Astyanax mexicanus: one gene and its partner. The protein of the gene in region 2 binds, or shares a complex with, the protein of the main gene of each other region. Links are inferred from orthologs where the notes say so. Each region holds a gene or a part of one and is shown on either strand. Other genes may lie near its edges.

Region 1 (15,956 bases), on a different chromosome or scaffold from region 2:
AGAAGCAAAAAAAATAAAATAAAAAAAACCACAAAATTATTGCAAAATTGATCCAGACAGGATTCTAAAAGAAGCTAATGAGCAGAAGGACTGAAAATATGGCCACACTTTTATATGACAATATACTTCTTTTTATTTGATACAGTCTCTTTTTAATATCGATATGAACATTATAAAAAAAAGTCACTATCTGTGATGTATGTGTATGTTACGCATTGAGGACACCAGGCTGCAGATGCCTGTGTTGTTCGGCCCTTTCTGCTCACTCTGTAATGAATATTAGTCAGTGACAGATGCTGTAAATAGTGTATAACTAAACCACCCATTATCAATTTTGCAGGATAATTTGATAGTTTGATCAAGTTTGTACATTGCTTTACCTAAAAATGATTAAGAATTTATAGGAGGCAATCACAGAAGCCAGATATTATGTTCAGAAGCTCCTAGACTCAAATATGTCATTATTTATTATTTTCCGATTTAGATTTTTGTACGTATATTGCTCAAAGTTTTACTTGGCAAAAAAAAAAAGGGAGGGAAAAAAGTAAATTAAAATTTTGAATTTAACTACAGTTAGATTCTCCGCACGATCCAACCAAGATTTCCCACCATTTTTCTCGAGCCGCGTCAGTTTGGGCTCAAGAAAATCTGGGTCTGTGATGTAGGCATATGAATTTTAAAGATATTTGTATTTTTTATATAAAGCTATGGTGTGATTATCACAATGTAGCAAAGTAACAAATCAAACTGTGTTTAAAAAAAAAATGTTGCACAGGTTAGAATGTTATAATCACACAGCTCGAGGGTGCACACGTGAGCTCCTCTACTTGTCTGCATTACACAGTTTTTCTTAAATAATAGGTCTATACTTCTTTAGTGTTGCTATGTTAAGTAGCATCGTTCGGAACAGATTTCACTCATTTAAACAGCCCGAATACATTTTTAAATTGGGGCTTGGGCTCAGGCAAAACATGCACAGGCTTGGGTCAGGTCTCAGCTTTAATTTGAACTTCTATTTGATTCAGCCGGACTTTATTAAGCATGGAATACCAGGTTAGATGTAACGCTAACAGCTTGACAGAGTAAGTTAAAGCTATGATGCTAACATACACTGCAGTCGCCCTTGGCGTGCTTGAAGTGTGTTAGCTGCAATGCTTAATGCTTTTCTGAGCTGGATTACTTGCTTATAATTGATTACATTCAATGCCTTAGTTAAGTAGGGTAAGTCCTGTTGTTTACTGTATGTCTATCATGTCTGTACATTGATCTGGTCTTTAGTTAAGAAGCTCAAAACACTTGCATGTAGCTACTAGCTCAAAGCAGACCTCAGGCAGGTTCTGAGTGATTTAAAATTCCCAAAAATAAAGTTATGCATCACAGTATACGTTGATATCAACTTATTTTCCAGCCCTGGTGAGCTGTATATACTTTACCTGTAGGGCCTGCTGTAACAGCTGAACATCTGTGGTGCCCGTTACTTCCCGTAGTTGATTCAGTAATGTCTGTTGGTGCTGGGAAAAGAAGAAATGAGACGTACACATTAGAGTTACAGTCTGGATTTGATTACAGAGCTCTGGTCACGAGAGGATCTCAATGAAATGCCTCAAGTCAGAGTCTTATTTTCTTCCTCCCAAGGAAAGGCCAAAACCACAATCTGACCACAATATGGTCAAGTGACCTTAACAGAACTGCACAGCTTTCTCACAGATCATGTACAAAAACAGGCTCGATGATGTCCATATGGAGGGCGGCTGCTTCCAGAAAGCAAATCCTTGTGGCTACAGAGTTCCTAGAGAGTTCCACCAGCAAACCCACTCAGTGAAAGTGCTCTAAATCACCAGTTCCCTGCCACTGAGCAGTGTTTGGGAGAGAAGCAGTTGCCCAGAGACACAGGAGTAGAGAAAACAGTGTCCACACCTTTTTGCAAAGATGGAGCAATAAATAATGCAGCCGCCCTTTCTCCGTGTCGTGTTTGTGCAGGGAACAGCTCTTTGTATAATAATCTGAAAAACAATATAGAGTGCCAAGAACACCGGAATGCAGTCAAAAATCAGATTCAGGGCACTCCTCCCCAGAATGGAATCTACGGTTACTCTACAGTGTGAATCACTAACCAACCAAATCCATCATAATTATGTTGATGCCAGGATATTACCCAGTGGTTTCCTCTTGGGGCAATGGGCAACCAAGAGAGGTTTAATGCATCACTGGATAGTTCATTAAAAATGTATCAAAATTGACATTCAGGATCTCTTAACCAACATAATTTTAACAAACTTACTTACTTTTTTTTATTGTATTTTTACTTTCCTCACTGTGTGTGTTCATTTATGTTTTCTTAAAACATACTGTCATACACTTGCTAGAGCCAATGAATGCCAGATTGCCCATTTAAAATAACTAATACATTTTTATACTGTAAACTTAGCCAATAGAAAGTAATGGAAAGTAATGTCAGTGTAAATTTAGCCAACATACTGCATGAAAAAAAAATCACCCATATAACAAATTATGATTAGGACACCCTTAGTAAAACAAAATCTGCCCTACTTAGACAACCATCTGACTTTGCTGAACATTGTCTTTGAGCTTTGTTATACAATGAAAGCATCCACCTCGCTGACAGGTTTAAGGAGAGGCTGTCAAGACTGACAGACAGGTTGTCAGGTCAGCTCTTTTCTACACACAGGTCTGTCAGGTAGATTTGTGTTCTCCTGGATCTCCTGCAGAGAAACAGTGTACACTGTTGGGTTTCTTGCTCCAGCACTCGTAGCTCAAGACCTTAAAAGCTTCATATGGTGAGAAGAAGGAGCTCATGTGTCAGAAAAGGTCATACCGAACCATTCACTCTCAAATGTGTCAAAACAGACAACTATACTCCCTAAAACAATACAAAACAATGTGTGTAAAACCTCTGCACAAAATCTGAAATAAATACTGTAAACCAAAATTATTCTGACACCAATTCTAGATAGTAAAAGCTTTACATTTATAATTTTCACAAGAAGCAAATTTAAACAGATTTAAACCATGTCTGTTCACTCAAACCACTTCAAAAGGTGATCTAAGACAAGTCTATATAGACTGTATCCCGATTAGATTTCAACCAAATGCATTTACTCTTGGTACTCAAATGTGTCTCACTCTAGCGTGAAATCTGATTGCTGTGTGGGACAAAGTATGCAAATGTACTTCTCGTATGACAATTATAACTGGCATATTAGTTGTACAGGAAGGAGAGTTGCTTGTTAAATGTGCCATGTATAGACAGATATGTTTACACTGCTATAATATGTGTCATAATATACCTCCTGAAGTGGTTTCAGTGATTGTATTTGTATGTTTTAAACGCGTATTGGGTGTGTTTACACTGGTATTTGTATGTGGTTTGGCCTTATTCAGAAATAATCCAGATATTCAAGGTGCATGAAGTTATCTATACTTTTTTTTGCAGTTGTCTACAAAACATATGGTCATATGTTGTGATTATTTCACTATGAAGGTCCTCACATATCTGCACTCTCACAGTTTAGGTAAGTCGGTTCCTAGATCTTGCACTCAGTTGTTTAGGTTGTTGTGCAACTACACATCATCACTGCTCTCATAACTCCACTACTCAGCAGCAGTGTCAAATAACACCATTAGCTAATCGCTACTCAAATCATCTGTGCACCAAACTCCTTTACTGACAGACAGCCAACCACCATGAACCCGGTTGAGATAGAACCAATATATTTCACAACTGTGAAATCTGACCCAAGCAATCTGAAAACAGTCAGACTGTTTAGGATCAAAACATATCATACTGATGTCCTAAAGAGTTCTCTAAAAATGAATATAATGACATGAAATAAGAACTAGTATCATGTCTCATGACTTTTGCCATGCCCCAGCACCTGTGTGTTGGGCCTTCTTCATTAAATTCCAGCCAGACACCACAATCATTAACACTTCATGCTCAATTTATCTATTTCTGCCTGTTGACTTCTGGCATATAACTGTATAACTAATATTTAGCTACTATGGCTTTTACTAAGTCCAGTGTTCTGCCTCTTTTTAGTAACAAAGACTAAATACAACACTAAAATTATATATTTAATTTTTTGGCATGAGGTTGAGAGATGAGAGATGTAAAAATGTCTGATGTAAAAAATGTCTGATGTAAAATGCTCCATTTAAGAGAAATTTACTGAGTCAGGAGTTTTCACAGTGGCTGTGTCTGAAGCATTAAATGCCTCTAAAAGCTCTCTAACGGAAAGCTATTACATAAAATGCTTATGAATACACTGCCGGACATACACTACCTTAATATACTGAAACAATCTAATGAGCAAAGATATTTTGTTGTGCTGCAACAAAATAATGCTATAATGATATTCCTGGCAATTTGACAAAAACACATTATTAACTTCAAAAATATACTACTACTTCTAATACTTTTATTTAGTATAAATAATATAGAAATGATAAAGAGTTTCATACATTCAGTCAATTTTGTAAACAGTAAACAGTAACTAATAAAGACCCTGATTCACTGCATGTCCTGTGATTAATCACCAATGACTAATAAGCATGTGTGCACTACGAAGATGATGCTGAAACAATATATATATATATATATATATATATATATATATATATATATATATATATATATATATATATATATATATATATATATATATATATACACATATACACAGCTCTGGAAAAAATTAAGAGACCAAAATTAAGTTTTTAAATCAGTTTCTCTGCTTTTGCTATTTATAGGTTTATGTTTGAGTAAAATTAACATTGTTGTTTTATTCTATAAACTACAGACAACATTTCTCCCAAATTCCAAATAAAAGTATTGTCAATCAATATTTCAATATCAATATTTGGTGAAATAATCCTGGTTTTTGATCACAGTTTTTATGCATCTTGGCATGTTCTTCTCCACCAGTCTTACATGCTGCTTTTGGATAACTTCATGTCACTCCTTCAACTTGATTTGATGGCTGTGATGATCTATTTTTCTTTTGATTATATTTCAGAGGTTTTCAATTTGGTCAAATCAAAGAAACTCATCATTTTTAAGTGGTCTCTTTTTTCCAGAGCTGTATATTGTGCAGCCTTACTGTTTTAAGCCCTGAGACACTTTATATAAATAAAACATTCTAGGCCTAAAACATTGTATTAGATTGTATTGTATTGTATTTATTCTTTGGATTTTCCACCATGTTAAAAACACTGAGGTGTTGTGTCGGCGGTTATGGACAGTGATTCATATGGCTGGATTTGTGTTTTAGGCATCTTAACCACTGCAATATCAGAGGAATTCTTCTCTAAAAATGTTACAACACATATATTCAACATTAGATAAAGGTACACATCAAACGTGTAGATTTTAGCTGTGTTTTAAGCCAGATTATCAACATCCAAAGTCGTGTAAACATGGCATGTCTGCTCACTTCATAATAACTAGAGTTCAAATGATACTGATACAGGCTGGACCACAGCCAGACCTGAAATCAGACAGCCTGGGGTTTAGCTGTATCCTATCTGTAGCTGTGACTCTGCTTGTGGTATGAACACAGTTTAAAAGCTTAGACTGTGTGCTTTTAGAGTTGAATATATGGTCTAAAATAGTAAAACACAATACAGAACACACTAGCTCTTCACCAGTCAATTTCACTGCGGATTTATTCACATTATCAGGCAGGTTTAGCTCCAGGTTTAGCATAAGCTACTCCTAGCACAGTCTCTCTCACACTACAGTTAAACTAAGCCAGGTTTAGCTTGCTAGTTAGCGTTAGCCTGGTGCTACCTGGCATGTTAAGTACAATATGGTGTAATTAAACCAGACATAACACTATAATGTTACATACCTGTAACTACATCAGTTAACTAAGTTAATATCATAATTATACAGAACGGGCTGCAGGTTATCCAGACCCAGCGCGCTGAACTCGTTTCTAGGCGTGTCACGCAGCTATGTCAACATTAGCATGCTGGCTAGCCCGCTAGCGAACTTTCCAATCTCTGTTATTCCACCTAAAAGAGCCGTTCAGCCGCGTTTATCAACTTTAATCGGGTAAACAAGAGTGAACCTGTCCGCTGAATGCTGTAAGAACACAGGGAGAGGAGTGTAAGTTTTGGTGAGGCACAAAACACTAAGCTTAGCTTATCTTAGCTAACTTTCCCAAAACTGCGATGAATGAATCGTTCATTTGAACCGAGTCGATCGAGTGAATCAGTGGCACCGATTCACGAGTCAAACTCAGTTGAAACAGAAGTGCTGCTGTTGCTACTACTACTACTACTACTACTAATAATAATAATAATAATAATAATAATAACAATAATAATGTTCATATTACCAAAAAAACTACCATAATGAAAGTGAATAATAATGCTATTAAAGTAGTAGTAATAATAATAATAATAATAATAATAATAATAATAATAATCATAAATTATTATTATTATTATTATTATTATTATTATTATTATTATTATTATTATTATTATTATATTGTTTAAACATCATAAAAATTATCTTATTTTGAAGTCATAAAGTTTTGAGATTCTTTATTTACTGTGGGTCTACTTGGACGATCCTTCTGTGACAAAAGTATCTAAACTAATGACAACAAACATGGTTCTACTGTGAGAACCCACACTCACCAATACATATACTATTTCTGTAGTTATATAACATACTGCTACAGTCTAAATATACTGTTATATATTCCTATAATTTGACTATTGTATCCTACTGCTACAGATTAAAAATACTATACACTTCTTATTAGTTTAGAATCCAGCTCTATAGATAAAATATTTTACATACTAAGGCTGCACAATATTGAGGACACGATACATTGGAATTGTTCTTTTGCAATACCTACTGTGATATGAAAACCTATCACAACAAAGAAATACACCGTCCTTGTTTTGAAATGTCAAGATTGGTATAAAACGAATTAAATTGCGAAGACATATTCTGCCACAGGTAGATATATTATACAGTTCTTATGAAAAATAAGAACAGTGCAGATCTTCCTATTATATCAAACTGCGAAAGGTTTTCTTTTTTTTTTTTTAACTAAATGTGACTGCACATGCTGAATTGTGCACATTGATGTATTGGACAGCCCTACTGTATACTACTTAAACACATTCAATATAACCAATATAGATAAATGTGTGTACATCAGTTACATACATTGCTGTATTATAAAAATTAATACACTAACTGTTATATGAACTACACTTTTCATTCTGTTAATCTGTATATATTATAAATAAACAAAATACACTACAGCTACAGCCTTGTTAAAGCTATTATTGTTAATCTTGTATTTGCTACTGGGAGCAAATAAATAACTTAAATTGAACTGGTTTTAAACATATTCATCTCATGTAATTAAGCACTGACTATATTACTACTCTACTACACTTCTACTAAATCATGTGGCAGACTGAAGTGGATTCGGTCCATTTAAACGGACAGTCCTACTGAATCGGCTCCCTCAACTGAATCGAACTCCAGCACAACAAACTGGCGCAGAGCAAAAACATTAGCTTAGCCTAGCCTAGCCTAGCTTAGCTTAGCCTTACCTTCTGGGAATGCTGCTGGAGGACATTCTGCTCCACGGTCATGGCTTGAAACGGACAGGAGGGTTTGAAATGAACTGAACTCAGGAATAAAGCGCGTATCCGAGCGAGCCGAGCCGGCGGGGCTGAGGTGCGGGTTACCGGAGCGGAGTTCAGGCGGAGCCCCCGCTGGAGAGCGCAGCCACGGGCTCCATCAGCGCACACTGCTCCATTAGTGCTGTCTGCCGGAGCGCCGCCAGCTCAGACAGCAATAACCGAAACTGAAACCTAGCGCTGCCCTGAACCAGCTCAGCACTTATTCTCACTGAGTTCTGCTTTATTTCACTTAACCTGCGTTTATCTGCGAGATATAATAACTTAAATTTTAGTGTTCTTATTTAAATTCATTTTTTATCAGGATAAAATAAATAAATTTGGTGAATAAAATGATTAGATTATTTTTTTTGTATGTTAGTATATTGTGTGTTCGTAGGTTTCACATAATAATAAAAGGAAACTGAAAGCTGGAAGCACAGAAAAAATATATAAGAAACGTCATAACATTCCCAAAACATTAGTCAATGCTTGTATGGTGTTCCTAGTATTAAGTGTTCAGTACTACAGCTTCACAATATTAGAGATCCCACCTGTCACTGAAGTTCAGGCTGTCTCCCGTGTATTAAAGAGTCACTAAATCCTAAACTATATTTTTTCCATTGAAATCTGAAATGTGTTTCTTTGAAGTAATGAAACATACTAGTCCTGTTTAAACTTTTAGAAACATTTCCTAAATAAAAAATAAAAAAAACTTTATTGTGGTCATCGCCGCCTCTGCAGGGCCTTATCAGTTTTAACTCTGCTAAACCCATACATCACCCAGTGCCCCTCCCAAACTACCCCTCCCATTTTTTTGTTTGCATTTTTCAAATTGGAGTTGAGAGTGGAGTCAGCTAAAAACAGGGGGTTTAGTGTCCCTTTAAAGTGTCCCTTTAATAGGGGCTCCCTGAGGCCCGCAAATGACTAGATATACAATATCCAGTAAAACAAATTTTTAGAGCGAGAGAGAAAGACAGAAAAAGAGAGAGAGAGACAGGGAGAGAGGGAGAGAGGTGCAGGTGAGTAACAAAGGGCAAGAGAGAAAGACACATTTCTCCTCCTTTTGTACACTGTCACCATGCCATGATCAAGGCTCAGGCTGTATCCTCCAGTTCGTTGTGGATCACTGGTGTTCAGAAACGAAGAACAGAAACTTAACTGACCCAGAAATAAACACAGCAGAGAAATATAAATAAAAAGAGAAAGTTGGGAGTCTGGTTTGGTACGGATGGCCTTCTGGGCTTTTACTAAATGAGCAGGATTATAAAATAATTCATTCACATTTTATTCATTCAGTCTCAATTATCCAATGGAGAAAAAAAAAGATCAGTTTCTCTCCAAGTAAAAATAACTGGAGTGTTGAAATGAGGAGCTAAAGTTCAGTTATAAATCTGATTAACATGATTTAGCACCAGCAACTCCATATGGAGTTGATCAGCCAAGATATGTTTGGTATCTGATGAGAGTTATTTAGTTCACAGTAGGAGATGATTGGCTTACACTGCCTGGCATCTGGATTTATCACTGGATTAAAACTGTCACCAATTTTATCTCTGCAAATAAACACCCCAAAACACTTCATTTATTCACTTAGACTCTATTAAAACAATTACAAACAACTTTTTAGCCCTGTAAAGAAGTTTATAAAAAGCAGCTCAGTTGTGCAGTGATGTTCTAAATCACCATGGTTCTTCCGTGTTCTGAGAAAGAGGTTGTGAGAAATGTTTGGGCGTGTGTTTATAAAGATGAGACTGGTGATAGTCCAGTGTTTGTTTCACACAAGATAGAGAAGCACACACACCTTTATTATATTATATAAACTTTTATCTACAATTTTGTTATTTTTTTCACTTTTTGAAACAATGTAAATGTGGCAGTTGATCGTACTATTGTGTTCAAATTTTGTATACAAAATAGAAATGTTCCAAAATATTCTGGAATAAAATTTTACACTGATTACCTTCACTCAACACACACAGTGGTTGAAGCAGAGAAAAACTGATAGTTCTGTAAAAAGGGGCTTTGGTGCTGTGGTGGGCGGCAGTCAGAGGTGGTCTCCCTGCCTCTGCAGAGCTGTACTGTGACCTTCTGCGTGGGCGGGGGGTCACATTATCCACTATTATAAGAGAGAGGGTGGGGGTGTTTCAGAGAGCATGTAAACTACATGTAAAGAAGTTCATTTAGAGGTCAACGCCATGCTAATTACCTAACAATGTCATTTTTTTACACGTGTGTAAAGAGCATTGCAGTAAAAGTGTGTGTGTATAAAGTTTGCTGTGCTGCATTAAAGAGCCACGAAACCCTAAACTATATATATATTTCCAAAAATAGCTGAAATATGTTCCTTTGAAGTTTTGAAACTTACCAGTCCTGCGTAAAATTTTTATAAACAGTTTTAAAAACGCTTTTATTTGGGAAATTTCGCCAACGCAGCACCCTCACAGGTTCAACTATGCTATAGACGCGGATGACGTGTCTGTGTACTTTGGTACGCAGACATATCACTATATGCAGATCAGTCAATCAATAATACCACCCCCAGCTCACTCAATGAGCTCTCCCTCCTACCCTACTCTAAACCCATACATCACCCAGTGCCCCGCCCAAACTACGCCTGTCAGCAAAAATCAGGGGCTTTTAGTGGCCCTTTAAACTGTACTGGAATGCAAGGCAGCCTACGTATATATCTTGATTTGTCTTGATTGATGTATCTATCAGATCTATGTATCTATCCATCCATCTATACATCCATCCATATGCCATTTCTAAAAAACTGAAATACATTATTGTTCGTTAAAAAAAGAGTGAGATTCACTCAAAATCCAAGTCACAGATCTGACCAATATTAATAAGGATATTTTCCCCAGCAGAGGGCACCACTCATTTTTTATTCTTATCATCCTTCATTACAAAACAGAATTCAGAACATTACTCAACCCATTTGAACTAGTTGTACTTAAAATTCCATGGTGAAAATGTTAAGGTAATTAATAAAATATATATTTTTTATTTGTGTTTATGTATTTGTGTTATTTTTATTTAATTTAAGAAAAATATAGATTAGAAAGTAAGATTTAGTAATAAAATGCTACCGAGAGAACAGCATAGCACACAGCCAACACAGAGTTAGCAGCTCAGAAGCCTGGTGGGAATGACTACACACAATGTTAATGTATAGCTCTGGGAAAAAAAAGATGAGTTTCTTTGATTTTACCAAATTAAAAACCTCTGGAATATAATCTATGTATCTATGTCTAATATAAGAGGAAGATGGATGATCACAAGCCATCACACCAAGCTGAACTGCTTACATTTTTTTGCACCAGGAGTAAAGACATAAAGTTATCCAAAAGCAGTGTGTAAGACTGGTGGAGGAGAACATGGCAAGATGCAAGAAAACTGAGTTAAAAACCAGGGTTATTCCACCCAATATTGATTTCTAAACTTTAAGAAAGTTTATGAATATGAACTTGTTTTCTTTGCATTTTTTGAGGTCTGAAAGCTCTGAATCTTTTTTGTTATTTCAGCAATTTCTCATTTTCTGATAATAAATGTTCTAAATGACAATGATTTTATTTGGAATTTGGGAGAAATGTTGTCTGTAGTTTATAGAATAAAAAAACAATGTTCATTTTACTCAAATATTTATCTATAAATAGCAAAATCTGAGAAGCTGATTCAGAAACTAAAGTGGGCTCTTGATTTTTCCCAGAGGTGTATATGTGGCCACAACTCAAAATAGTTGAGTAACATTTGGAAATATCCAGTTTTACATAAAACAAGCTTAATTTATTTGAGTTTAAACTAATTGTGAGTTTAAACAGTGTGCAGACTGAGTGGAGTGGACGGACGGTACAGCAGGTGGCAGTAGTGCACAACAGTTCCTCAGAGCACAGCATTGCATAACCCTGTTATTTGTAAGCCGCAATATAGGATACATGTAAGACCATATTGTTTGTAAGTAAGGTCATGTCCTCTGAGGCTCCAGCGAAGCTTCCACTGGCGCAGAGCTAAGCAGTGACCTTTTTCCTCCTTCTGTTGTGTGAAGCGCATTCGATTACAATAGACTTTTCTATTAAATACATGAATCAGATTGGCCATGATTTATTGATGCCTGTTTTTCATTTATCCAGATTGAACGGCGCTGCGTAGAGCGGCTCTGTTCAGATAAGCAGAGTGATGCAACTTCAGCCTGCAGAGCATCAAGGTCACCTTCAGACTGTCATCTGGAGTAATGATTATAACACATTTTACTGAATCTTCTGATGACTTTAGGTGGTCTGTGTCTCAGCTCGGTGTGGATTTCTGAAAGGCCTTGGACAGAACATCAAAGAGATTATATGCAAATGTAATGCATGTAGATATAGCTTTATGTAAATATGCATAAAATCTAAAAGTAAATTAGACATCTAAGAAAATAAAAGTGAATTTACTAATGAAACAGTTGTGATTGCAGTGTGTGTGTGAGAGAGAGTGTGTTGGTGCGTTAACCATTTCCAGTGTTTTCCTGGAGGAAGGCCAGGCATTCCCACTTCCGATACATCACCTACTTTATCTAAATCATTAAAGTAAATCAAGTGCATAGGAACCAGGGGGAATATCAGAACTAGGTGGATTTGTCCCCCCAAATAAAATATACCGCAGAAAATTAAACTTTTATTTTGAAAGCGTGCCAAACTCTGCACCTCGCAGTGAAAATCACCCCTCTCGGAAGCATGTTTCTATTAAAGTTAGCTAAACCAATTATCTCCGCTTTTATCAAGAAGACATGGGTGCACGCTCCCGAGAGGGGGTGCTTTTCCTGGCGGGGTGCAGATTTTGGCACAACACCGGCTTTTACATGCGAGGTCAGTGATGAGAGCAATGAATGGAAACCATGCCAACCATGGTCCTGACCAGGAACAAGTGGATATAGATAGATGACAAAGGAGCATTACAACAAGTGAAGGATTTCACGCTCAGACATCTTCATTGCAACATGGTTCTTTATGGAACCAAATTGTTTTTTCTATAGCCTCGCTCAAAGAATCCTTTGTAGCACCTTCATTTTTTAAACTAGACTCGTCCTGCATTATTTCTAATCAGAATAAACTCTAGACATGTGGTAGATTTCTTCAGAATCCAACTACCCACTCATCCGTTCATATTGAAGGCTTTCACCACTGAAGCGCAGAAAGCATTTTGAAAATGTCACACCGCTCGACAGCTGCGCGACAAACGGACTCATAACGATGCGCAACAAAAGGAATTGTGTCTGCGGCCGCAGTGGAAAGGCTTACCTCTGCCTGAACGCCTGTTTAACTCCAGCGTGCCTCTATCTTCATTTAGATGTGAGCGCGCACAGAGTATTGATTTTATGACTGCAGAAAGAATGAACCAGTCTAAGCTAGATGGATTTGGATAAAGGACACTGTTATTTATTCACCGGGTCTTGCCACAAGAACCGCCTGACATGGAATAGTGAGTGGAACTGCAGCCTTTGGGTCTTCTTACCAGGGAGGGGGGCTGGAGCGGATGACCCGAGCCTGTGGACGGCCAATGTCAGTCCCTTTGGCAAAATGAGCCGGCGATGTCAAAACAACTGAATCATTATGGCTATTTTGCAGAGCGAAACCGTCCGTCTGAGAAGTATCGGAGCTGCTGAACCACCCCATAACGTCTCCTCCGGCACTGCCGACATATATCTTAACTGTTCCGCTAAAGGTTACCTAAGGGTCAGTCTGATGTATTGGGCTGTGTGGAAAGTCTACTAACTCTTACCTTTGGGAGTAGAAATGAATCTCGGCGAGCCCACAGCACAAATATGTTTGGCGTGGCCCCTGCGTGACCTTCCGTCTCCGAAGCCACGAAGTTCTAATCTCGAGCCGGTTCCTCCACGAGATTGGTTGACACCGAGCCACCCTTTCACATTTGAGTGTGGTTTGTGGAACTGTTTACTCTGGGAGTGCGTGACCCGTGCTCAGGGGTGGTCATGCACGGAAGGACTTATTCAAAGCTCCAAAAGATCACCCTATCAAACGCGCTGGAGATGGTGGCAGATTGAGCGGAAACATGATACTAGTTCCTGGCCCATGCTACGGAAACATGATACTAGTTCCTGGCCCATGCTAAGATAATCGGGCTGGTTTTTGAGATTATATAATGTAGATAATTGCATATAGTATATGTTCTTTAAACTTTGTAAAAGTTTAAAAGTTTTTTGTCTTCACACAAACTTCTTTAGAAAGCACGATGAATTAATTTTTGGCAATCAGCACAAGCAGATTCTCTTATTATACTCAGCAACCGAGGTGTTGGCACAAGTGGCAGTCCTGATTCAGTTATAATAATTAGCAATAATCAGCTTGCTGGCACAAGCGACTTCTTGTGGGCTGATTCTCATATGATACTCAACAATTGAAGTGTTAACACAAGAAGCGTGGGACGATTGTTAAATTATACTTGGTAACCAGGGTTTTAGCACAAGTTGCACTGGCCAGTCCCCATATTATGCTCACCAACTGGAGAATTGGCAGAGGCGGCTCAGGCCGATTCACGCATTTTACTCAACAACCAAGGTGTTGGCACAAGCGGAGCAGCCTGATTCTCGTAGTATAGTTTGCAATCAGGGTGCTTGCAGAAGCAACTCAAGCCAATTCCCATAGTATACTTGGCAACCGGTGCTTTGGTACAAGTTTCTGGGGACAATTTCACACTGTATACTCTGCAACTGGGGTGTTGGCAAAAGTGGTGTGGTTTAATCGGGTGCTTGCAGAAGCAACTTAAGCCAATTCCCATAGTATACTTGGCAACCAGTGTGTTGTCACAAGCTTCAGGGGACAATTTCACATGGTATACTCTTCAACTGGGATGTTGGCAAAAGTGGTGTGGTTCAATCAGGTTGCTTGCAGAAGCAACTCAAGCCAATTCCCATAGTATACTTGGCAACCGATGCGTTGGTACAAGCTTCTGGAGACAATTTCACATGGTATACTCTGCAACTAGGGTGTTGGCAAAAGTGGTGTGGTTTAATCAGGTTGCTTGCAGAAGCAACTCGGGCCAATTTCTATAGTATTTGGCAACCGGTGTGTTGGTACAAACTTCTGGGGGCAATTTCACGTGGTAAACTCTGCAACTGGGGTGTTGACACAAGTGGTGTGGACAAAAACTCCTGTATCATGCTCTGAATTGGACCTAAATTTAAACAGGATCCAGATCAAACTCCCCACACTGCAGTGAGTCAGTTAGCGAAAATCATTCACGCCATTTTTAGGCAAAAAACACATGCTGATTCTGATTTTAATTGGCCAAAGTGAATTTTGCTGTCTGAGAGTAGTGTAGGGAGCTTTATGGCTAACAAAGATTAAAACCAGAAAAATCTGGGGTCTCCCATGTTTTCAAAATCAGATTACTTGCATGTATTAATAGATTTTGTTTTTTTTCTCCCCATCCCAAACAACAAACCTCATTGTGAAGCCATTAAAGGTCCCAATTATAGAGTTACGCTTGATTTCGGGGCGAGGAATGCATGGCTTATCGACGTTCCTTTCATTGCCATTATTTATCTTTGCCTGACCCAATTTCCAACGCAAATGAAAAAGTCTGAGCGTGAATCAATTTGAAGCTCTTTAACTAATCATCCAAGACATGAGGTTAACACACTCTCCGCCTGCCTTCCAGAGCGGGGGTCCGCCGAGCCCACGCCGCTGAAGACCCTGCAGTGTTAATGGAAAAGGAAGGTAGATTAGCGCTGTCTGCCGTGGTATTGAAGGAGGGCCTGCTGGGACGCAGGGTGGGCATACAGCTGCACGCATCACCTCCGGCTTGGAGACGAGATGCACATAGAGGCAAAGGTTGTGACCCCTGAGACTCAGTCAGGAGCTTCAAGAATCCCACCTTCAGCAGGGGTCAGGGGGGAAACCTGTGCACACTTTAAATCTGAGAAGGTTGAAATTGGAAACTACAAATATTGATTCCTTACAGAACCACACAGAAGAGCTTTGGACATATGTAAGATTCTACACCAATTTTAAACAAAATTGATTAATACAGCTCTGGAAAAAATACATTTCTGAATCAGTTTCTCTGATTTTGCTATTTATAGGTTTATGTTTCAGTAAAGTGAACAGTGTTTTTTTTTAAATATTGTCATTTAGAGCATTTATTTGCAGAAAATGAGAAATGGCTTTCAGACCTCAAATAATGCAAAGAAAACAAGTTCATAGTCATAAAGTTTTAAGAGTTCAGAAATCAATATTTGGTGGAATAACCCTGGTTTTTAATCACAGTTTTCATGCATC
Region 2 (16,273 bases):
GTCCTCGTGTCTGGCGTCGTGGTGGCGAAACCTACAACCACGAGTGCGTGAAAAGATCCGTCAAGTTTCCCCAGAGTGTTATGGTCTGGGGATGCATGTCCGCTCGAGGTGTAGGGAAACTCTGCTTCCTCAAGAAGACTGTCAATGCTGCCGTATATCAAGATGTTCTGGAAACGTTCCTGATTCCGACTGTTGAGGAACAGTTTGGCAAAGAAGACTTCATATTTCAACAGGATCTTGCACCGGCTCATGCGGCAAAGTCGACCAAAGATTGGTTCACTAAAAAACAGCAAGTTTTGGCATGGCCGGCCAACTCGCCTGACCTCAATGTCATTGAAAACCTTTGGGCCATCGTGAAGCGGAAAATTCGCGACAGAAAGCCTACTACGCTGGACCAACTGAAGCAGAACATCGCCACTGCCTGGGAAGCTGTGAGTGCGGAAACTTGCGACAAGCTGGTCAAATCGATGCCGCAGAGACTTCAGGCAGTCATACAAGCCAAGGGGGCAGCCACAAAATACTGAGAAAGTGATGATTGTAATTATAATAAAAATTATTCTAATTCAATGAAACGGTTTCTCCATTATTCTAATTCAATAAAACAACAGTGTCACAGTTAAATGGCCTAAATGGGCCTTTTGGAAAGCTCAGCCGAGCAAATTTTTTTTCCAGGTAACGAGTTCTGTGATTAGTCTAACGAGTAGGACAGGTGCGGTGAACCTGTCCTTGCTTTCTGCACAAAAAATGCATTCAAGGAATTTCATGATTGCACTATTTCAAATTATTCTAATTCGTTGACCAGCACCTGTATATATATATATATATATATATATATATATATATATATATATATATATATATATATATATATATATATATATATATATATAAGTAGATATATGTTACCGGATAAGTAAAAAGACAGAAATTTGAACCAAACAATGACATTTTCTTAAAAAAAAAATAATAAGACAAAGAAAATCCAAAAGTAATTTACAATAATAATTTATATATTATACAATAATAATTGAATTTATGCCTAACTCAATTTATTAAGAAAATCTGTGAATGCAATGTAAGGTATTTTGTATTCAGACTTCAGAAAAAAGTTTCTTATTGTTAGGTTTCAGACAAAAAAATATATATGATCGAATTATAGTGCATCACAGGATATAATGCAGTGTGTGAGTGTGTGTGTGAAGTGTGTGCAGGTGTGTATGAGCTACCTTGCGTCCATCGCTGGCGTGACAGTTGACATTGAGTGGAGTCAGCAGAGCCATCAGCTTATCCTCATTCCCACTCCTGAAAGAACACACACACACACACACACAAACACACATTTATACATATATATTTATTTACATTAGGTCATGCTGTAGATTCACTGGGCTCATTGAGTGCTTGTTAGTCCAGTAGGACGTGTTTGATGATCAGTCAATTTGAGGTATAATTGCTGCACATAAGCTTCCATTACTTTTAGTAGGGGCAGGGGTGGGACAAAATATTGCAAAATATCATATAATTTTCGTTTGTGATACATTATCAATACTCCCTAAGCCACGCCCCCTCCCCCCTAAAGTGCAGCATTATACAGGAGTTTCAGTGAAGTTTCTCCAGCACTAAGGCTGGGGCAGTGTTCAGTGTTAGCATTAGCCGCTTATTACAGCACTTGATTTTTTGCCATTCAGAGGTGAGTATAAAACGAGGTACGTGGGGCAAACTGCTAGCTGATAGCTTAATGTACATAAACGGAAGCGCTTTACTCACCCAAACAATCAGTTTTCTGTGTAGATTACTGTGCGACACCCATGTTCCTTACTATTGTCACTTAAAATGCACCTTATAATCCGGTGTGCCTTATGTATGAAAATAGACCAATAGGCGTTCATTGATAGTGTGCACTATAATATGTTGCACTGAGGAGTATTTTATCCTCTTTAGCAACACAGATGCTGTGAAGTATCGTAGAGAATTGTCTTGTGATCACAGTATTGTGATATCGTCACTATAGTGATACCTAGCATTAGCATCGTAGCTCCAGTGTAAATCTGAAGGAGCTGTAAAGATACGGAGGTAATGGGTATCCTCCTCATTCTGTTGTAGCACACTCCCTTAGCAACGGAGGGAGGGGTGGGTGTGGGGGGGTGTGGCTGCTGACACACACACACACATACACACACACACACACTCACCTCGCTGCCTCCAGCAGCTCGTCCTTCTTATATTCCCCTGTGGACAGAAGAACACACTGATCAGAACAGTGGGGGGTTACATAACAAAGGCACTACTCAGTGAGGTGTGTGTGTGTGTGTACCGGTGAGGACGGTCTTGGCGGAGGGGTCTGCGAGATCCAGAGCTGATTTGCCGTCTGTGTTTCTGATGTTGGGATCCGCACCGTGCTGGAGCAGCACTGAAAGCACATGCATAGAATATAGATTTTTAAATTAAATATACACAGATATACACATTTTCCAATATGTTCTGCATTTCCAGCTTCTGATGTAGGAAAAAAAACACTTTTACAATTTACAATAATCACAAAAAATTAAAGATTAGATTCTGTATGTTTTATTAAATTCACATATCGCACTAATTAATCTGATTGCATATATTTTGAGTCAATATCCACAATTCAGAATTCTGTGCATTAGAAAATGAGGAGTGTTTTGTAAGCTATGGTTGCAAATGTCTTAATTACACTGTAATAATGAGTGGTTATTTATTACAGTTTATTATTTTTTATTTACTCCTAAGTTCAATTTACTGTTCTGTATATATTGTATAGGCTATGTATCAGTATTTGCTCATTTTAAGCTAAAATACACAATCAATCAATATTTCCCTAACGTAGTATATCCTTAAAGCTGTTAAGGTTCACTGCAGTTTACAGGAAGCTGCAGTTCCTTGTTCCACCCCTACACAGCCAGAGCACTGCTGCATCCACTCAGGCTCGGCTCTTTCATTTTAATTTGCAGAATGTGTAAAAGTAGAGCGTCTCATAAAGGCAAGAGAATAAACAGTTTAACCCCACTAACATATACCCCTCCGCAGAGTGCTTCACTCAGCCCATACAGTGAGTAGCTATTAGCACAGCAATTCAACAGAGCTAACAAACACCACTAACCACACAAACCAGCAAACACTGCTGCAGACCAAACTGAACCTCCACCACCACCCAGTGCACACAGCTTCTCTACTTATATACACAGTTATATATGTATTCACCATCACTCAACTCAACTGAGGAGAAACTAGCGATTTCATGATTCAATGAATCGAAATCGAACTGAATTCTTATGAGACCTGACATTAACACCATTACTACACGCACACTACACACACACACACGATTAAACACACTCAGGCAAGAGTGAACCTGACTATAGCCACTCTCTCTCTCACACACACACATCCCAGTGATGCTGTCACTTTCTATCACACACACTCAGCATGCTGCCTCAGCAGTGTGTAAGCACAGAGGCATTCAGCACGAGTCTGAAACACACACACGATGCTTCTGTGTGTGTGTGTGTTTACCGCTAAGGTTTCCCATCGTTACTGTTACTGATGAGGGATCATCCCTCTCCACAGTGCATCAACAGCACCACTCTGTATATAACAGTGGTGTGTGTGTGTGTATGTGTGTATATACCGCTCTGAAAAAATAAGGGACCACTTGATGATGTTTTTCCTTCATTTTACCAAATTGAAAACCTGAACTGCTTGAATTTTTGCACCAGGAGTAAAGCAGCATAAAGATATCCAAGAGCAGTGTGTAAGACTGGTGGAGGAGAACATGATGCCAAGATGCATGAAAAAAACTGTGATTAAAAACCAGGGTTATTCCACCAAATACTGATTATTTCTGAACTCTTAAAACTGAATATGAACTTGTTTTCTTTGCATTATTTGAGGTCTGAAAGTTCTGCATCTGTTTTGTTATTTCAGTTATTTCTCATTTTCTGTAAATAAATGCTCTAAATGTGAATATTTTTATTTGCAAATATTTCTTGATACATTGCCTAATCCTAGACAGCCCATAGATTTGACTCTATAGAATAATTTGACCTTTAATGACCATTTCTGAGACATGCTAAGAGAACGTGGAAACCCGCAGATATTGAGGGCGGATCTCCTCTTTAATATGATGTAATTTAAATATCAGATACAGATGCGTGACGGTGCTGATCTGCTCACCGATGCAGACGTCGATCTTGCCCTTGATGGCGGCCTCGTGCAGAGGCGTGTAGTTCCAGTTGTCGCGGGCGTTGGGATCCGCCCCCTGGCACAGCAGCAGGCTGACCACCTCGGCGTGCCCGAAGGAGCAGGCGTTATGGAGCGGGATCAGCCCACCGTCATCCCGGGAGTGAACGTTAGCTCCAGTCTGCAGGAGATGCTCCACCACGTCCTTCCTGCCAAAACCTGCAGAGACCAAACAACAGAACCACATCAAAACCCGACCCTGCAGAACCAAACACACCCAGAACACCAGCAGAACCTCTCTGAGGCTGAAGCAGCAGCACTGACTGTAATATACGATCACACGCCCAGAACCGTTCCAGCAGATCCGCATCACAGCTGATCCAGGTCTATTTTAAAGAATCAGGCGTCGGCTATATTAATCCCTCCACTGCCAATCCGTTTATTTACACTGCTGTCAGAGACACTCCATAAACACACTTTATACCAGACTGCAGATATTAGGAACGGATCTACTAAAGAACTTCAATGCAGAAGGTTCTGTACGCATCTTTTAATCAATAACAGATGTTCCACAATCACAGCATTTTATTAATATTTGTTGTTTGCTAATGACAGCACAAGATATATACTATAATTTTGACCAATTACAGCTATTCACCAATCTTAACATGTGATCAATAATCATAATAGCTATTTTCCTATCAACTGCTCATTACCAATAATGACATTTAGTGCCTGTTTACCTTTTTCTGCTTTTAAATCAAATGGGTTTTGACCATTAGTTCCAATGGTCAAAACAAAAGCGTTTCCTCATCGGCTTACCAATCACAACCTTTGATTGAGGCATAATGTTCATAAATTACATCATCTGATCAAGAATGTTAGAAGATTTTTAGACATAGACATCACGTAATTAAAGATGATCAATGTATCAATCAAAGTAATTAAAGCCTCATGCTGTATTACTTATTGATGACGGCTGTTTATTTTCACCAAGAGCAGCATCTTATCAAAATTGGATGTTTGCTAATGACAGCCTAGATCAATAATTAGTGTTTACAAATAACATTTAAAATAAAAATGGGCTTACTATAATTTTTATTAATTAACTCATCAGTTAATAATCATAATATCTGTTTTCCAATTATGCTTTACTGAATTGCTGGTTACCAATAATAACATTTAGTAAATAATACCTCTTTACCCCTCACTGCATTTAATCAATAGATTTTGATCAATAGTTTAAATTTCCCAAATAGTTGATGCTTGCAAAATGTATCATTTGATTAAAAATAATAATACTAACAAGATTAATAATTTTAGATTTAGACATGTTTACCAATCACTTAAAGATGATCAATGTATTAATCAAAGTATTCAAAGCCTTATGCTGTACTACTTGAGTTAGGGTTAATTGATCACAACAGTCTATTACACAAATCAATAACCATATAATATCTGCTACCAATCAAACCCGTTGATCAATAATAACTGTTCATGCAATTTTTATCAATCATCACAGCATCCGCTCGTACAATTCACTGACCAATCACACTGTTCGATCAGTTATATCTGTGCATATATATATATATATATATATATATATATATATATATATATACACATACACACACACACACACTGCTCGCTGCTCGCCTATTACAGCTCCTGGGGGTTATTAGCTGTTTAGCTAGGCTAGGCTAGGCTAGTTAGCTCTTGGCTAATCTACTTCGTGACCATTATCGTTTATTCGGCATGTTTAGAGGTTAAATCTGTACCACATCTCGCCTTTTAACATTGTTATTGATCGCAATGCAGCTATTGATAACCCATAGATGTGTATTAATCGGTTAAATTAAAGTTAAATTCCGATAAAACGCTAACGTAGGCTTCGTTTGGGAATTCTCCGTTCCACCTTAACTAGTACAGCTGTTCCGTTCTGCTGCCTGTGGGAACATAATGTAACTGCAGCAGAATTTAAGGTGGAACGGAGAATTCCAACAGAAGCTGGAAAACAACCCGAAGCCCAGCAGCGCAGTGATTCCACAGATTCCCCGACCGACCTGCGGCGAAGTGCAGCGGGGTGGACTTCCTCCCCGCCATGTCCTTCGCGTTCACGTTCGCCGCGTCCACCAACCGCTTCACCCGGGACACGTCCCCGTTCCTGCAGGCCTCGAACAGCTCCCGGAAGGCGCCGCTGTCCTGGCCCGGGCTGGGGGCCGCTGAGGACGGGCTGGCGCTGCCTGCGGCCCCGCTGGCCGAGCTGCAGGCTCCGCTGCTGCCCGGCCGCTCCGGAGAGGCCTCCGCGGGGCTCAGCGCGGCCGTGTCCGCCTGAGGAGAGTCCAGGGGCGGCGAGGAGACGGCGGAGAGCCGCGGGGGGGACTGGAGCCCGCCGCCGTGGTGCTGAGACGAGCGCCGGGACACCGCCATTACACCCAGCCGTTACATACAAAACCCCGTACAGTCTCCCTCACACTATACCCAGATACACACACACACACACACACTCTGTCAACAACACAGCAACACACACACTTCCGCTCAGGGAGAGGCGGGCTTCCGCCGAGAGTCTCTGCACGATCAGCTGATACAGATATTACCATAAAACAGCAGAATAACACAGCTAAAACAGCACAGGCTGAATTACACAGCAAAGCTAAAAAAGTACAATCTGATTTACTCAGCAAAGCTAAAACAGCTGCACAGTCTGAATAACACAGCAAAGCTAAAACAGCACAATCTGATTTACACAACACAGTTAAAACAGCACAATCTGATTTACACAACACAGCTAAAACAGCACAGTCTTATTTACACCTCACAGCTAAAACAGTACAGTCAGATTTGCACAGCTAAAACAGCAGTACAGTCTGAATTACGCAGCACAGCTAAAACAGCAGCACAGCCTGATTAACACAGCACAGCTAAACAGTACAATCTGATTAACACAGCACAGTTAAAACAGCACAGCTAAAACAGCAGAGTCCGATTTCCTCAGTACTATATCTGTGCTCAGTACTAAAAGTGCTGTTTTAACTGTGTTGTGTTAATCAGACTGCTCTGTTTTAGCTGTGCTGTGTATGTTACACTGTGCTGATTCACCAGTCTAATTTAGTGAAGTAATGTTTTACTGTCATTTTTTTTGTGATATTCTGCTAATTGTACAAATATATTCACCTTGCAATATCAATACCTTGAATTCATTTTGATTCCCAAATTCCCAGATTTGGATTTGTATAATTGCAGATTTTTATATAAAAATCAATAAATCATCAATAAATTACATAATAAAAGCAGAAGTTATGACTTCAGTTTTCAGTTAGATTTCGGTTTAATGAAGAAGCATTGATATTAACAGCATGCTAACAGAGTCTAAGACAGTACAGCCTCTTTACACACTGAAATCTGATACTGAATTACAGTGTAGTTAAATACTCAGCAGTATTGTAATTCAGTAATTGGGTACAGCAGCAGTATTGGATTTCAAGACCCGGCGCTGGTCCGTGTTTGTGACCCAGAGTTTCAGAACTCTACAGGTCTGTCAGAACCAGTTAGTTTCTGCTGATGTTTGCTAATGGTGAGAGGGATGGAAGTGAACAATAGTGCCCTGTGTTGCCATGGAGACAACAACAAACAGCCGGCTGGCCCCGGATCAGCAGCAGCACGCGACCCACGGGACCCTTAGTAGTGCTGCTGCAGCACAGCAATGCTGGACCTGGACCAGAATCCACACTGCTGGGGGGACTGGGACTGAACTGGGCCTGTGTTTACTGGGCTGCTGGAATGCAGGTGCAGAATGCCCACCTCCTCTGGAGCTGCTGGGAGGATGAGCACTGGGAACAGGAGCCAGGGCTCTTATCTGAAGATGTGAGTATCTGTAGATAAACTCATGTGTTTACTGGGTTTAGATCTGTGTGTCAATTATATACAGGCCCCAGATCTGCTGCTGTTTATTCTATTATCTATAATCAGAAAATACATTTATAGTGAATACAGTCTGAAAATGAAATGAAGCTCTAACTCTACATTCCTAAAAACAATTTAGTTCAGAAATGCTGCTGTTCAAAGTCTTATTCATGAAGAATTATTTAAGAAATAAAGATAAACAGTCATTCACAAATGAGCTAACAATGTGGATTAGAATATTAGATATATAATATATTAATCAGCAGGATTATTTTAACAAGCAAAACATTATTACCAGAATCTGACGGATTAGAACTTGTTGGATAAGCATAATCATTAAAAATGGATTATCTGAAATGTCTAGACTAGTAAAATATACAGCTCTGGAATAAAAATAAGAGCCCACATAAAAAAGATGAGTTTCTTTGATTTTACCAAATTAAAAAACTTTAAACCAAGCTGTTTGAATTTTTGCACCAGGAGTGGCATAACATTATCCAAAAGCAGTGTGTAAGACTGGTGGAGAAGAACATGCCAAGATGAAAACTGTGTTATTTTAAAAAACAGGGTTATTTCACCAAATGTTGATTTCTAAACTCCTAAATATTTATCAATATGAACTTGTTTTCTTTTTATTTTTGCATTATTTGAGGTCTGAAAGCTCTGCATCTTGGTAACCTTGGAATTTGGGAGAACTGTTGTCTGTAGTTTATATAATAAAACAACAATGTTCATTTTACTCAAACATAAACCTATAAATAACAAAATCAGTGCTCTCTTAATTTTTTCAGAGCTGTATATATTAGTTACCGGTATATGGATTAATTTAAAGCAGCATTATGTTTGAACTGCCATTTCTAGCTCCTGGGCTCCCCCTACAGTCAGATAGCGGAATTTCAGAATTTGCTCTGCACACACATTTCTGGACAAGCTGAAATAAGGGTGAACTGTATTATTGTATTGCATCATTAATAGTTGTGTCAACAGAATACAAAATATACTTTTCTGAACATATCCTGGATATCATCTTTATTTAAAGAACACTGACCTGCTGCACATTTTATTACAGAAGCTGTAATAAATCCTGTTTAATTAGACTAAGGTAAAGTGTGTAGGTTGTGATGATGTGTGTGTTGTTTTCTGCAGGTATTTTGGAACTCTCTCTGTGGAGAAGAGGACGCTGCTGGAGAAAGCTTTAGAGGTGCAGATCTTCCTCCATCTGCTGGAAGAATCAGAACAAATGGCAGCTTTATAATGAACCAGATGGATGTGTGAGGTTTACTGTGTGTGTTCTGCTCCACAGGCTGAATGTAGATCTGCTGCAGCTGGAGGTAAAGAAGACGTTCGCTCTGAGGGTCAGCAGGGTGAGTTATACTGATCACTGTGAGGTCAGAGGTTACCTCAGGCACATGGTCAAATGATGAGGTTGTTTTTGCTGCTTTTTGCAATAAAGCAAATGGTTATTTATAAAAGAGGGAAAATCAGGCTTCTGAAAAGCTGCTGTGACACGGTTTTGTAATTGTTTTTACAGATAAACTTAAAATATTAAACGTCTTAGCATGTAAACAACTGTTTATAGTATTAAACTGAAGACCCCCTCTTTAGTTATTCAGCCAAGGCATGTTATGCACTAAATCTAATGATGCTCATTGCTATCTTACACCCCACCAACAGTCTATTTTCACTCCTTCCTTCTGCCTGGTTTAAACAGCAGCAGAGCTTCTGAATATATCTACACTGACGGGCGTGGTGTTCTGGAACTTTACAGCCAAAATTAACCACATCCATGATTAATTAAGAGAACCAGTGCGTACTTTTCCCATCGTTACGATAGCAAAGACACACTGACACACCCTAAATAAAGCTGCACGGTGCACAGTTTTTAGCATTGTCATCAGTTAGCACCCTAGGTTAGCATTATACAGTAGTTTGTGTATCCAAACAGCATGGAATAATGTGCACAGATAGAAGTTGTAGAGAATCTTGTTGTCTAAAATCATGTAAGTTCATGTATATAATTTATTTAAAGTTTGAAACAGACAGTAAGAAGCATGTTGATTATATATCTTGTTAGCTACACTGCACTGTCTGACCTTTTGAGTTATACATTTGTACGAGCAATGTGTGTGTGTGTGTGTGTGTGTGTTCAGGTGTGCAGAAGGATAAGTTCAGTAATGATGAAGAAGGAGTAAACGACGGACAGCTGGAACATCCACCCTCCAAAAAGTCATCCACGTGCACTGTACTGTAGTGCACACGCACACACACACACTCACACACACCTACCTCTCAGGTGGATACCTGGACATAATGGAGTTGATGATGTTAAGGTGTGGTGTTGGAGATGGCATGTGCCGTATATCCTAACACTGATCTTCTTCAGTATTCTAACTCTGTATTTATAAACTGCTTTCTGTTTGTAAGCTAACGTCTAAATAAACAGATAAATGGGTAAAATAAATAATATTTTTATTAATATATAAAGAGTTATGATACTTTTTATAGTTTCTTTTTTATCTTCTGATCTCTAGGTATAATTAGACTTTTATTTTTTATTTCAGTGTCTTTAAGACTAATAAATGTAAATAACCTCTGATTGTTCTGATTGGCTACTTATTGCATTGTGCCTCATTTACCATAAAATTAGCTGCATTCCATTTACCTCAGGATTTGGATGTTGGAGCTGGGAATCAGGTCTTTTACACTAACTAGTTTTAATCGTTAACATTTTCAATAATTTTCTAATTATTTACTAGGTCATTATTTTCAGCATTATCTCAGGTTAGTATTATTAGCAGTGTTAGCAGTTGCAGTGGATAATAATGAATTACTGTATACAGTATTTAAGAGCTTGCAAGTAAACTTCTGTGGACTGGAGATGTGTTGGCAGGCTCAATATATATATAAATATATTCATACAAAACTTAAATTTTTCTCTCTCTGTTACACATAAAACCCACCAGAGTAAGTTAGTGTTCTCCTCCAAGCGTGTTGAGGTGCAGTGGTAGTGTTTTAGAAGCAGCAGCAGTTTGAGGAGATGTAGTGCAGTGCTAGTAGCACAAAAATCAGATTAAAATATATATAAAATACTGTTTACACACAACTCTTCCACTCTTAAGCTTCCATTTCACATAATGATAAACTTTTCCGTTTACAGTGTGTTAAAGATTCTCTGCAGTACAGTTTAAACACTGCAGCTCCAGCTCTGAACACTAGAGGGCGCTGTTGTTGTGGTTTTGATTTGGTGCTGCAGTATGAGGTGTTCTCTGTAGTGTATTTACTTTAAATATACTTTATACTGATGAGAAATAAAAATGAATATATGAAAAGTAATAAAGCTACTGAACTTTCTGATACAAATAGCTTCTGCCCTGTGTGTCTTTTTCTCTTGGAGGAAGTAAACGAGACAAATGGTGCCATAAAACACACAAAAACACACAAAAACACACACAGGCTAATAAACACACACATATACACACACTCATAAACACACACAGGCTGTGTGTTTTACCCTGACCTGCTGAGAACCCTTTGACACCCACAAAACATTATTTATTTTAAAGTGAAATTCCACCAAATGTTGAAAATTCTCTGTATTATTCAGTGTGTAAAATTATTATTAAAACTGTAGTTTTAATGTCAAATAATTATACTTTATAGTAGAAATATAGATATTTTATTTACTTTTCAAACCCACCACTGATTCTGAGTTTATATGGTATAATAATGATGGCGATGAAGATGATATGGTGGGACATCTAAACTAATGCACATTTTCTTTGGTTACTTTTTTAAGCCAAAAATTTAGACCCAAAGTCTTTTCAAAATGTTTAATAGAATTTGACACCAAATCACTCCTAAAGAGTTACCATTAACAATTTATAATGCAAAAATTAAAATGTTTAAAATGTGTGTACTTCCCGTTCAACACACACATGTACACAAGCTTGTATTAATAATAGTCTTTTATTATTTTCTATTTTTTTGTGATTAAAGCATTTTACTTGCATATTTGCAAATTATATGGTTATTTTTCAATAAAAATCTTTTATTTTATTAGCGACAGTCTGTAAGTTTTGTGGATTAGGGGATTTGGAGCCCTCTCTGGTGAGAGTGTGTAATTGCAGAGAGCACGCTGAAGAGTTCTTTTAATGCAGGTTAATGTAAATAAATTACTGTGTGAAAGTCTTTGTTTTTGAGTATAATATTGTTCTGATCATTTTATTTATTTATGAAATACTGACATAATGCTTTCTGCATATATAGCAATAACATCCAGCAAACCTACCAGACCACTCTGTTTATATATATGAAAAATAAGTATCTCCAAAACAGCAACTTTATAGGAGAGAGAAAAAACTCTCAAAACTAATTAAGGTAATTTTGAAGAGTTTCTATTGGTCCGTTCATTAAGAAATTTGGGCACAGTGTAAGGGACAGTTTGTATAGTAAACTAAAAATGGTCAAAAATGGAGATGCTTGTTTTTCATTGCACAGTGATGATTTTTACCAGACTTCTATTGTAGACTGAACTGAAGGAAGGGAGGGGTTTATTTGTCTGAAATTCCTTTATTGAGGAAAAATAATCATCACATATCTGCATTTGGCACCATCTAAAAACATTTTCTGTCATCAAAAAAAAATAAATCAGTGCAACCTTTTCACTTTCTCCCACATCAGAACATCACCAGCTTTAGCAATTAGCAAAACGAAGAGCAGGACAGAGTGATTTCCACGTAAACAATAATATATTATTATTATATTCCATTAGAGCTGAGACCTGAGATGGGGGACGACGGTCAGAGAGTTGGTTCCTCAGGAGGCATCAGATACAGACCCCAATAAATCCCCTCACTACAGACAGACATACAGACAGACTGATACAGGCAGCTGAGGAATAATCTGAGGCTCAGAACCTCCTTGGCTCTGGACCTGAGGTCACTGTGGAGAAATCTCCTCTGGGTTGGAGTCTGTGATTGGTGGGGTCAGTTGCTGGTCTGTAGCTGGTGAGGTTGAAGGTTTTGTGTTTGATGAAATTGGGGTGTGGTGGGTTTGGGCTCTTGGAAGTCAGTAATTGGTTGATGACTGGTTGAGGTTGAGGTTGGTGGGGTTGAGTCTCTAATGGTGAAGTTGGTATTTCAAAGTTATGTAATAGGTTGTGTCTTGGAAGTTTGTGGTTGTTGTTGACATTTTGGAGGTCTGTAATTGGTGGGTTGATATCTAGAAGCTCTGTGGTTTGATGTTTCAGTGGTCTGTGATTGGTGGGTTTGGAGTCTTGGATGTCTACAATTGCTACATTTGGAGTCATGGAGGGCTGGGATGTCTGTAATTGGTCAATATAAAATTCAGTTTAAGAGTCTTGGAGGTCTGTGACTGGTGGGGTTGTTGTCTTGAAGGTCTGTGGTTGTTGGTGTTAATGTCGCGGAGGTCTGTATTTGGTGAAGTGGATATTTCTGAGGTCTGAAATTGGAGAGTTGATATTGATGTCTCAGAGGTCTGTAATTAGTGGGTTTGGAGCCTTGGATGTCTGTAATTAGTGGGGTTGGTGTCTTGAAGGCCTGTGATTGGTGGGGTTGATGTTTTGGAGGTCTGTAATTGGTGGGGTTGATGTTTTAGAGGTGGTTGATGGATTTGGAGTCTTGGAAGTCTATTATTGGAGCATTTGGAGTCTTGGAGGTCTGTGATGTCTGTAATTGGTCAATATAAAATTCAGGTGATTTGTAATGGGGGAGTTTGGAGAATTGGGTGTCTGTAATTGGCAGGTTAAGAGTCTTGTATGTCTCTGATTGGTGGGATTAGAGTCTCTCTGTCATTGGTGGGTTTGGAGAATCACAGTACTGTGATTGGCGGGTCATTCGCTGCTATCGTCTCCAACCACCATGCTGCTGTACTTCTTCTGCTGCTCTTGTTTGTAAGTTTCCTTCACCTTAGCTCTCTTCAGACCACCGTCCCTACACACACACACACACACACAATTATAATGTATATTATAATATTATATTGTCTTTCACTATTTTATGAATATGATATGAAGTGTAGAACGCTGCTCACCAGGCCAGGTCCAGCAGCCCCCCCTGATGTGCGATAGCAGACTTCACCCTGTTGGCAAACTGCACTGCATCTTCTCCTTCCTGTACACACAGGAAATGAGTCAGCAAAGCCACAAAGCACTGCGTAACCAAATGCGTAACAGAGCTGGGTTCAGGACTCTGATTAAACCCAGACTGCAGCAGAACGTCTGAATCACACAGATCCAGCAGAGACAGCCAGGAGATCAGTACCTGAAGTGTATTTCTTTACTTTAACACTGGAGCTACCAGGCTAATACTGTCAGTATTGGAAACGTGTGTACAGCAATTAGCATCCTGCTAACTCCGCCTCTATAATAACTGCTGCTGATGCCGTAGGATTGCCGAGTAGCATCACAGCGCTAACGCTCGGAGGAAAGCGCAGCGACTCGGTTCTGATACATCAGCTCACAGACGCAGCCTTGTGCTGATCCACATCACCCTAGGAGTGATGAGGGGAAAGAGAGAGCGCCATCTACTGTATTGTACCCACCCAGAGAGAGAACAAGGACAACTGTGCTCTCTCGGGGCTCCGACAGCTGATGGTAATCTGCATGATTGGGATTAGAACCAGCAATATAGATTTTCCACTGAAAGGAAAATTAAGTTTAGGATATTTCTTAATCCCTCTCCAGAAGACTGAGCCTAAATGTTTACTGAACTAAACTATTCTGTGTTCCTCACCTGTTGGGTCACGGGCGGGAGGTACCAGACGTTACAGACGATGGCCCAGCTGGTCATCATCCTCAGCAGGTAACTCACCATGTTATACTTCGCACTGTTCCAGAACGCATCCCCAAACTGAGGGTCGTACTGCAGAACAAACACACACACACATTTTTTTGTACTGTATTTCTTTCCATATACAACATAAAACAAAATATTTTGATATACAGTTCAATCATCATTAAAATAGAATTTTCTGCCCCAATTTAGGAATAAAGAAATCAGCACCTTTTCTAAATATATAAATGCGTTAACATGTGATTAATCTATAAACATTACGTTAATGTTTTTAATGCAAAAGAATCATGTGACCAAGTTTGGTCACAGCTTCCTTCTGTAATTTACTCTTCTGTAATTCACAGAGTCTGATGATGTTATTAGCATTTTAGTGGTGTTTAGTCTACTTTTTATTTATATACATCTGATATACAGATTAAATCTCTTTCTCTCTCACACACGGGTTGATGCATATATACACACAAAGCTGCTCGCACGTCTTCCTTTAATTCCATTTAAATACCCTTTACTAAAAACGATTCTTTGATAAATCATGATTAATTTACTTTTTTTTATCACAACCAAAAAAAAAAAGTATAAAATATAGGTTATGAAACACTATTGTCAAAAGTATTTGCTTGCTTTCATTTTTATGTTTGGTGATGTAAAATTTGAGTGGAGCTGATCATTACTGAGTTTCCAAATATATATTGTAAAAATCATTGTGAGGTCTGAGATTTACACTTCTTGTTTAATCTCTAACACAATCTTTGATTGCTCCACCGCAGTGTGAAGTGGTGTGACGGGCGGAGGTTTCGTACCTTTATAGCGACGGGGTAAATGGTGCCACCGATTTCAAAACTTCCCTTCTTGAACATCATAACGGATGTGTTGTTGATGCAGGTTCCTGTAGAGAAACAGTAGCAGAGCAGCGTGAGGAACCGCCAGAGAGTGCTTCCTGTAGTTACTGCGGTCTGTGTGTGGTTCATGTGGTTTATGTAGTTTGTGTTATTTAATAGTGTATGTGGAAATTAAACCAAAATCCTGAAGATCATTTATCTGATTTAATAGAACTGTGTGCTGAAATTAAAGTTAATTTGGCTGTATGCTAATGCTGTCATGCAAAAACCTTGACTTTTAGACAGCTAAGAATTCTTTATACTGTATCAGAATATATTGATGAATGGACCAATATTAATAAATATAAACGCTCTAGAACTGATCAGACAGTAAGTGTGTGATGGATCATGTACAGTACGGAGTGTACAGTATGGAGTGTACAGTATGAAGTGTATGGAGGAGTGTATGGAGGAGTGTTTTCATCATTACGGCTCATACCCTCGGGGAAAATCAGGATGGGCAGTTTTTTCTTG

Evidence for each region.
Region 1: the proteins of tnksb (region 2) and usp25 are in contact, whole or in part, in a crystal structure (PDB 5GP7), measured with the Homo sapiens proteins. The link is inferred for Astyanax mexicanus from reciprocal best matches to the Homo sapiens genes TNKS and USP25. Residues at the interface, in NP_003738.2 of Homo sapiens: Arg836, Ser838, His842, Leu843, Gly846, Tyr847, Leu871, Asn876, Ser879, Tyr880, His882, Asp900, Trp902, Phe904, Glu909, Gln912, Lys913, Gln934, Glu935; in NP_037528.3 of Homo sapiens: Ser1046, Ser1048, Arg1049, Thr1050, Pro1051, Ala1052, Asp1053, Gly1054, Arg1055.

What each region holds. Positions count from the first base shown.
Region 1 is NC_064427.1:6,130,258-6,146,213, forward strand, and holds the start of usp25 (ubiquitin carboxyl-terminal hydrolase 25), read right to left. Parts: upstream 7,828-15,956; 5' UTR 7,648-7,827; coding exon 7,606-7,647; intron 1,512-7,605; coding exon 1,434-1,511; intron 1-1,433. UniProt on the Homo sapiens protein: Deubiquitinating enzyme that hydrolyzes ubiquitin moieties conjugated to substrates and thus, functions in various biological processes including inflammation and immune response.
Region 2 is NC_064429.1:11,653,803-11,670,075, forward strand, and holds the start of tnksb (tankyrase, TRF1-interacting ankyrin-related ADP-ribose polymerase b), read right to left. Parts: upstream 6,721-16,273; 5' UTR 6,634-6,720; coding exon 6,267-6,633; intron 4,423-6,266; coding exon 4,198-4,422; intron 2,411-4,197; coding exon 2,315-2,410; intron 2,230-2,314; coding exon 2,193-2,229; intron 1,303-2,192; coding exon 1,227-1,302; intron 1-1,226. Other genes in the region: agpat9l (glycerol-3-phosphate acyltransferase 3-like), read right to left, coding at 13,961-14,060, 14,161-14,240, 14,862-14,990, 15,722-15,807, 16,239-16,273.